Neurospora crassa OR74A: one gene and its partner. The protein of the gene in region 2 interacts with the protein of the main gene of each other region in a biochemical or structural test. Links are inferred from orthologs where the notes say so. Each region holds a gene or a part of one and is shown on either strand. Other genes may lie near its edges.

Evidence for each region.
Region 1: the proteins of cul-1 (region 2) and NCU01188 form a complex in vitro, tested with the Saccharomyces cerevisiae proteins (4 studies listed by BioGRID). The link is inferred for Neurospora crassa OR74A from reciprocal best matches to the Saccharomyces cerevisiae genes CDC53 and CDC34.

What each region holds. Positions count from the first base shown.
Region 1 is NC_026505.1:3,175,052-3,178,956, reverse strand, and holds NCU01188 (ubiquitin conjugating enzyme), read right to left. Parts: upstream 2,666-3,905; 5' UTR 2,167-2,665; coding exon 2,074-2,166; intron 1,938-2,073; coding exon 1,314-1,937; 3' UTR 707-1,313; downstream 1-706. UniProt on the Saccharomyces cerevisiae protein: Catalyzes the covalent attachment of ubiquitin to other proteins. Capable, in vitro, to ubiquitinate histone H2A. Mediates the initiation of DNA replication (transition of G1 to S phase in cell cycle).
Region 2 is NC_026504.1:5,761,844-5,766,113, forward strand, and holds the start of cul-1 (Cullin 1), read right to left. Parts: upstream 2,848-4,270; 5' UTR 2,216-2,847; coding exon 2,145-2,215; intron 2,075-2,144; coding exon 2,005-2,074; intron 1,945-2,004; coding exon 1,928-1,944; intron 1,864-1,927; coding exon 1,772-1,863; intron 1,708-1,771; coding exon 1-1,707. Other genes in the region: NCU05203 (hypothetical protein), read right to left, coding at 3,829-4,270. UniProt on the Saccharomyces cerevisiae protein: Core component of multiple cullin-RING-based SCF (SKP1-CUL1-F-box) E3 ubiquitin-protein ligase complexes which mediate the ubiquitination and subsequent proteasomal degradation of target proteins.

The DNA of each region.
Region 1 (3,905 bases), on a different chromosome or scaffold from region 2:
GGTCAGAGAGGGGCGGCGAATTGTATGGCGATCGGATTGCCGAAGCGAGTAGGAGAGAGTTGGTAAGTTGAGGTTTGCGTAGGCTACTCTGACTTAATGATATCGGATCGGCGGGGCAGCGATGGTGACCTTGATGGGCAGGGCCTGCGAGACGGGACCGGGGGTCCGGGGCAGGAGACGTTTGGAATGTACTATTTCTTGGCGTTTGTCGAGCTACTTTGCTGGCTTTAAGAGCGAAAAGGATGAAGTGGGCGAAGGATAGCCCTGCTTTTACTTTTTGTTGTTATTGTTGTTGTTGCTGTTTGGACGAAGACAGGGCGAACGAGATGATGGGAAGCCAGATTGGGATGTTGTTTGCCTTTACGTTGTCAGACAATGAAATGCAAGAGCTGCTTGATGAGGTACCCGAGCCCTGTACGTACTATGTACAGTAGGTACACAAACAAGGCGGCAGGGGCAGCTTTTGATTGATGGCAAAAACTGCGGGGAATGGGGGGAAAGGTATTGAGGCACTCCGTTAGGTTTTGGCTGAGGGCCGGGGTAAACGTGGACGATGACAACAAAAGCCAAAGAAGAGATGCATCATGATGATCTTGGAGCGTCGGGCAGGTATCCTTCGGTTTCTCATCGGTTTCGGCCTGCTCACAAATTTCACTTGCTGTACAGAAATGGGTATCTCATGAGGGGATGATGGAGGGGCTTCGGAGGTCAACTGCTCGGTCGCTGAGGGGACATCCCCAAGGCCCGGGCCCCTCTTCACTGTTATGTGTCAAGGGACGGAGGTCTTGGGCTCTGACATCGTGCACGGGCTCCAGACGGGCTATTCGGCTCTCTGAACTCAGCGATGCCATCGCGGGGCTACATCCGCTCATCGCTCCATGAAAACGAAAGTTGAGTCTATAGCTCTAGTCTAGACGTTTCCGCTAAATGTATTCTATGTTACTATGAAGCCAGACCGCTTCCCGTCTTTGCCAATGTCTTCCGCTGTGCAAGAACATTGTGGCTGAGGATAGGCAAGTACTTGGGTGACGGTGTGTCTCTGTATGTAAAAAAAAAAAAGAAAAAAAAAAAGCGACCAATGAAATTCCCACCAGATATGCCTGCTTGGGAGACCACGAAAACGCCCAAACACACCGCGAGTGTCCCCGACGCTATGCAAATATGACGGGTTGAAGCAGAACAAGAATAAGAAAGAGAAAGGTATATCATCACCATCCTGACCCGAACCAGACCCAGCCCAGCTTGACAACGGCGATAAAAACGGTTGCTGCTGCTGTTGAAGGAACAACAAGCAAGTAAGCAAGCAAGTCCTTCTATTGCTTGGAGTTGGAATCGTCGTCGTCATCCTCGCTCCCTTCCTCCCCGTCCTCAAAGTCCTCCATCTCGTCGTCATCCCCGGTGTCACTACCACCAAAGTCAAACTCCTCATCCGACTCGGCCCAAAAATCGTCGTCGTTCTCGGCCTTCGGAGGCGGCTTTTCCTCAAAGCTGACCGGCATCTCGAATCCTGGCGGGATATCCTTCTTTGATCTCTCCACCGTTTCCCGGGCCTTCTTGTTGTAATCCTCTCGGCGGTCGCGGTACATGACGCCCGCGTCCACGTTGGCGGGGCTATTGATTTCAGGGTCGTCCAGCAGCAACAGAACCGACCTCAGCACACTCTCGGCGCCCTGGAGCGGCGACCAACGCTCGCTAGCCTGCTCGCCAGACATGAGGTCCTCGCCGGGTGTGTGCAGGATCGAGATGCAGAGCTGGCCGTCCGGATACACATTGGGGTGGGTGATGGGGATCAGGAAGCGGAACTTGGGCGGCTGGTAGGGGTATTCGTCCGAAAATACCATCTCGGCCCTGAAGTACCCCCCGTTAAAGGCGCTGTCGGGGTTGATGACCATGAGGCCGAAGCGCCACTTGAGGATGTTGAGGGTCGCAGAATCGTCCTGTTTGCGCCAAAGAAGTGAGGGTCAGTCTAGGTTCCGTAGTGAAGGTATAGTGATACTAGAATCGACGTGCCGGTACTGCGCCCGCGAACGACAGACCGGCAAAGGAGAAAAAACGAACGGTACTAGGACGTACATCTTCAAAGTGAATCCACTTCTCCTTTCGTAGCGCCTTCATCTCACTCATCAGGCGCGTTGTAGCGCCCGACGCTGTTGTCCTGTACGACATGGCAAAATGTGGTTACGGAAGTGAAGGCGAGGTGCCGGTGGCGGAGGTTGACAAAAGAAAGAATGGGCTGCCGCTGGAAAAGCCCACTTTACTTCGTTGGTGGTGGCGGTGGTGGTGAAGTAGATATGTTGTGGTGGCTCGTCAAGGGATCGACACGTAAAGTGCTGACGAAGATCCCTCTCGTGCGCAAGATCGGGGGCCTCGAGAGGAAAATGGTGGTATTTGTAGTTTGAGGGGATGTTGGCAAGAGGCGGGCGGGTGTTTGGGGAAGATTGTTAGACGGTCGGTGGTGAAGGCCGGGGTGGGTATTGATCTTTTGAAGAGGGATGGAATGATAACGATAACCAAACAATGGGAACAGACTCTATGGAAGCACGGACGGTCGGGATAGAAGTTCACGGTTTGTCACGATGGTGGTCTTTGGGAAGTGGGTTGGAAATCAAGGGCTGGGCGGTGACAATCTGGAACAATAGAGAGGTTGCGAGTCAGGAGAAAGCAGGGTCAGACGGGAGGAAAAGTGGAAGGGCGTACGAACGTCACAACCGGATCAGGAAAAGGTGTGTGAACTACACTACTACGATGTGAGCGATGGAATCATGGCAGGGTCACGCTTCCCTTGGGTTCCTCGGAGCGAGGACCCGGATAGAAGGTTGGGCAGTCTCTAGCACGCACTCTCAACTTAACCTAAGTCTACACGAAGCAACCGACCCAGACCATTTGTGATGGTCCCGTCATTGCCCAACTTCCTTCTCCCATGGTGGTGCAGCAGCCGAGCTGAGCGAGGCACTGAGGAATCCTAACAACTGCATGTCTCGCCTTACGTTTGTTAATGGTGGTCAACACCGCTGCACAATGGCGGTCTCGGGCTCTCGGCATAGGTACCTACCTCTACATAAGACCAATACACCTGACAGGAGTATCGTCAAAGGAGGGAGGCCGTAATCCCCGCCCTTCCATATTATCGTATTGTAATTGCCCGTCAACCTTTACAAAGCAGGCGGAACCTCCCAGAACGGCCTTTTTTTTTTTTTTTTTCTCTGGCAAAGGGGGGGCCCATCAGACAATCATGTACAATCTACCCGCAAGGAGACGGGACGACACGACGGTGCAGTTCCTTTGCCACTGACAAATGAGCATCCCATGGTGATAGGGCATATTGGTGGTGGTCAGAATTGCAGTTATCGGATGTTTCAGAGGATGCACTAACAATTTCCCAAGTACACTAGATCCCGTCACGGTCCACTGAAGCTACAAAGAAGTGACGCAGTTCCATGTTGTCCTGTTGACTGCCCAGACAACAAATGATCGATGCCTTAAATCGAATCCACATTCGCATCTGTTTCCAAGCATCATATACCCGTCATTCACAACACTTTGCTGTAAATAAGAGTAGGTACAGGTAACGTGTTGCCCAACATGAGGGAAGAAGATGGATCGATTCGTTTGCATACTGGCAGCGGTTCCCATTTTCTCGTAAACCATGGATGGGAAACGTCCGTGCCAGGCAGTTAGAAGATCCGGTGGGTAACAGTAGGCAAGGACCTTGATGGTCAGTTCCTCCGCAATCGGTCTTCTTCCTGGCTTCTTGTGTGCGAACGAACTTCTTGTTGGCCAGCAGGGTGATCTTCCCGTAGTGAGATGGTTGGGCGTTTCACTTGTGACAGAAGGGTTAGGGTTCTGTATAGGAGGCTGACTCAGGTTGAGTTGGTGTTTCAGGGGATCACCATAGACGAAAAGCA
Region 2 (4,270 bases):
TGGCCTTGACCAATATGCCTAGGGCGCCTTCAAGCACGTCCGCGTTGAGTTGAGTGATGCTCGCAAGCTCCTCGAACGTGTACTGGTCCTTCTCGTTGAAAAGCAGTAAGATGGCCATCTGGTACGCCGACACGCTAAAGATATAGGGCATCTTAGCGCCCTTCATATAATTCGCCTTGATGTCGCCCTTGCACAGCTGCCACAGCCAAGTGAGCTTGCGGCCTTCGTGCTTGTTCTTGTAGAAGCGGGTGAACCGATCGCAGTCGGCCGAGATCTCGGCGGGCGCAACAAAGCTGGTGTTTGGCGGAACGAGCGGCCAGAAACCGGTGCCGAGGATAGAGTACGTCGAGTCGAGCGGCTTGCCGTCCATGTTGAGGGAGGCGACGTGCTCCTTGAAGCCTGTGTTGAGATCCTTGGAGATCTGCATGTCCTGGAACATGCGTTGCAACTTGTTGGTGTATTCGAAGCCGCAGGCCTCCTTGAGCTTGGAAATCATCGAGGTCTCGGCATCGTCCGAGTTGGAGTTGCTGTGTACGAGGCGGCGCGCCAGCATGCGTGAGTAGAACTTTTGAAACACGTCCTTGTCCTGGATGTACTTGAACACAGTCATAATCTGCGTCAGCGTGTTCTCGAGCTCCGCCTCCTCCACTCCGGTGCTGCTCTTGCGGAGAAGCACGTCCGTGTACTTGGCCAGCAGTTCCGGTGACTTGTTGGAGCCCGATTTGCAGACCTCGTTCCGGTTCACAAACTCCTTGCACGCGTTGTCTAGAGATCTGGTGAAGTCAGGCTCCTTGTTGAAAGCGCGCTCAACTAACCCCTGGTACTGAGTGTGGATCTCAAGCAGAGCGTCGACGTAGACCTTGGGCTCCAGCTTGTCGGCGTCTGCAGCCACCTTGGCAACAGCCGCCAAACCAGCCTTGCGAACATGGGCCTCGAAACGAGTCCGCAGAGGCTCCAGACCGTCGGGAATGCGAGAAAGGAGGCTGTACATCCGCCTCATGTCGTCCTCTCGGTTGTTGTCCAGCAGGGCCTGGAATTCTTCACGCAACAGGGTAGAGTGCTCCGCGATGAGGGCCTGGTTGCAAGTCCTCTTCAGATGTAGGGCAATATCTGGATGCAGATACATGCGTACGCGCTCCTCCTCCTCAGCCAGGCGAGCCTCGGCCTTCTTCATGTACTCGACAACGCTATTCTCGGCCACGAACTGTTTGCTTTCGTTTTGGTAGAAGACTTTGGTCGCCTCCAGGAACGGCCTTTCAAAGTGGTACCTATACACTTCCAGCGTCGTCTTGGTGTTGTCGCCTTCGTCCATACCGAGTGAGACGAAGCTATCGACCACCTGTTTGATCTGGGTGTACTCGATGGTTTCACCGAGGCGTTGCCTTTCCACTAGCTTGAGAACGGCGTCCATGACTTTCTTAGAGACAGCCTGGAACAACACGTCACGCCACTGAACAAGGTGGAGCGTGTAGACGTCGTAAATGTTCTTTTTCCCTTCATCCATCTCGCGCTTAACCCAGTGTCTATTCAGGTACTTGAAGAGATGGTGGATATACTTGGCGGCGTTGGTGTAGCGTTGCCATTCGCGAATGTAAAAAGCTAACAAGGCCTCGTCCTTGTGAGCCTCCGCTTCGGAGACTAGGTGCTTAAGGTGGTCTGTCAGGTAGTTGGCCAGCTTCTTGTACAAGTCCTCACCAAGCAGATGGGCTGGTGCATGTTAGTCCTCTTGCTCAATCTGTTTAACGGGCAAATGCAGGGAAAGACAACATACCCCCTCTCTGGGCCCCGATTCCCGGAAGGTGATTACTCGGACTGCTGCTACCGCCGTTGGCCTTCTGCGATGTGCAGAAGTTGTGCACCGCCCTATGCCGCAGTTAGTACCATGTTGAAGGAGTGTATAGACAAATAGGGCATCCGTCCAACTAACGTGTAGATTCCCATGTACTACAAACGGCGTGTGTTAGCGGGGGGTAACGTGGACGGATGGGCGAGGAAGAAACATACACTGCTCATGTCGAGGCCTTCTTGGAGGTTGGTCATGATCTTGTTGATACTAGACTGCAAGTATGGCCAACTGATTGGCAGAGGGTCAGTACGGCTGTTTGGAGGCAGAGGGGCCAGCAGCGAAGAGAGCGAAAACATACGTGCTGTCGATACCATCACTGCCAGAAGGCTGCTGCCCGTACGCCCCCATCATCATGGTTGCCGGAGGCATGTTTGTTGTGTCTATGTGTATGTTCGTTTGAAGAGCGATCGTGCGCCGGGAATCGAAGAAAGAATGCGATGTTGGGAATAATATGCCGGCTGACAAGTGGTGGTGGACGAGGGGCGTAATCCGTGAGAAAACTCAAGCTGACCAGGTCGTGTTGGGTCGCGTGTGTTCGTCCAGAGGCTGTCGGGGGGGCAAGAACGAGTTTGATCTGGGCGACCGGTCGTTCTTGAGGTTGGAAGCGCGTTGACTGCGACCGGTGACGAAGGGTAAATGGACTGGGTGGCAGCCAGAGGCGTAGAAGTAGAAGCTCGTCCTGAGCGATGAGGCGCGCCACAGGTCTGGAAGGTCGGATGGATGGCGGGGGTCACCACGTCCTTAGGTCCGTCGGTGTCGGCTGGGAGAAGGACCGTGACCGTGAGCAGACAGACAGACGGGTTGATCGGATATCGGGTCGGGTGAAGAAAGGATTGTTCCCTTGGAGTGACGGGTGTGAGGTCGCAGCCTAGAGGTGAGGTGTAGAGGTAGGTACCTTGGCTGGTTGTTGTTGTTGTTGTTGTTGTTGTTGTGGTGGTGTTCTGACAGGTTTCAATGTTCTGTTCTGAGTGTAGGTAATCAAGTTGAAGAGTGGAGTTTCCAGTTTCCAGATTGGCCCCCCGAGGCTGCTGCTGCTGCTGCTGCTGCCGTGGTCGATGCCCGGATGATAGAGCGATGCCGTCGTTCGTTGACGGTTTTCAGGCTGCAGCGGCGTGGCAGGCATCGATTGACACTGACAGCAAGCAGCATGGAGGCTCCAGAGCAGTGGCCCCCCCGCCAGTAAACGTCCACCGCGAACACGCAAAATTGTGGGGAACCAACCATGGACGGGAAAGTGGCGGGGATGGAGACGACCTATGCCCTGCGATGCGGGACGGGCGACCATCTAGTGTACATTCCGTCATTACCGGTACATCTAACAATGGCGGCTAACAGATCTGATGAAGGTATGTACCTTATATTGATATAATACCATGTTTCTTCTCAATATGAATACAATAACCGGAACTGAAGTAATAAAATATGGGGATGGCACATATGTACAGCTGGCGGGGCATTTTACATACAAGAAAGCAGAACAGTGACAACGATGTAGCTACTTGTAGGTAGAGGTAGGTCAGCCGTTTACAGCCCCTTTAACCGCTAATGTTGTAGAAGGACACCATTGGTGGCCAGAATTCGATTAAACTGCATGTATTTTTCTGCTGGGAGCTCACGGCAGGCAATATGATATCTCCTTACCATGTCAAATCTTTCGCTATCCGTTCCCCTTTTCATGTCTCATAATGCATATACAATCGAGTAATAATCATCACCATCCTTGCTAATATCAACATCACCAACATTACCAACTGATCAAACACTATTTGTTACCGCTGTATGCTAATTTGCTAATCCAAAAACCCCACCCAAAAGAACACAGAGGCAGAACCGTGCTGAGGTATCGACAAAGTACGAGAAAATGCAAGTAAGTATGCTCCCATGCGGGTGGTTGGAGACGTTCGACGTGATTCATCTCCCCCGCTTTGTTTTTCTTTCCCTCTCAATATCCTTCGGGGCTTGACCGCCCATTATAACCGTCATTACCTTCCCCTCTGAGTCTCCAAATCATCTCCGCCTCCCAGCTTTACTACCAGCCTAAACACATTGACCGTAAAGTTGGTCAACCAGAAAAAAAGCCCAAGCAGCTGAAACGCGGCCAGCGCCTGGCTGAAATGGTCCGTGAAGCGATCTTGACTGTTATGATAAACCAACACCTCATATGCCAACGCCGTGCTGGCCGCCTTGAACACGATGAAAAACACATCCATCAGCACCAACCCGCTCTTTTGCGTCACCGGCCTTAGTCCCAATGGGCGGCCCGTGTATTCGTCCCAGAGCATGTACCCGATATAGGGAATCGCTATCGTGTCCACCGCAATCGCCACTATCGCTTGAGTCCGCTCTGACGACCCGGGCGAGATCTGTCTTATCAGGGAAAGCTCTTGGTCGACGTATCCTTCGGAATTGGAGGCTGAATGCAGG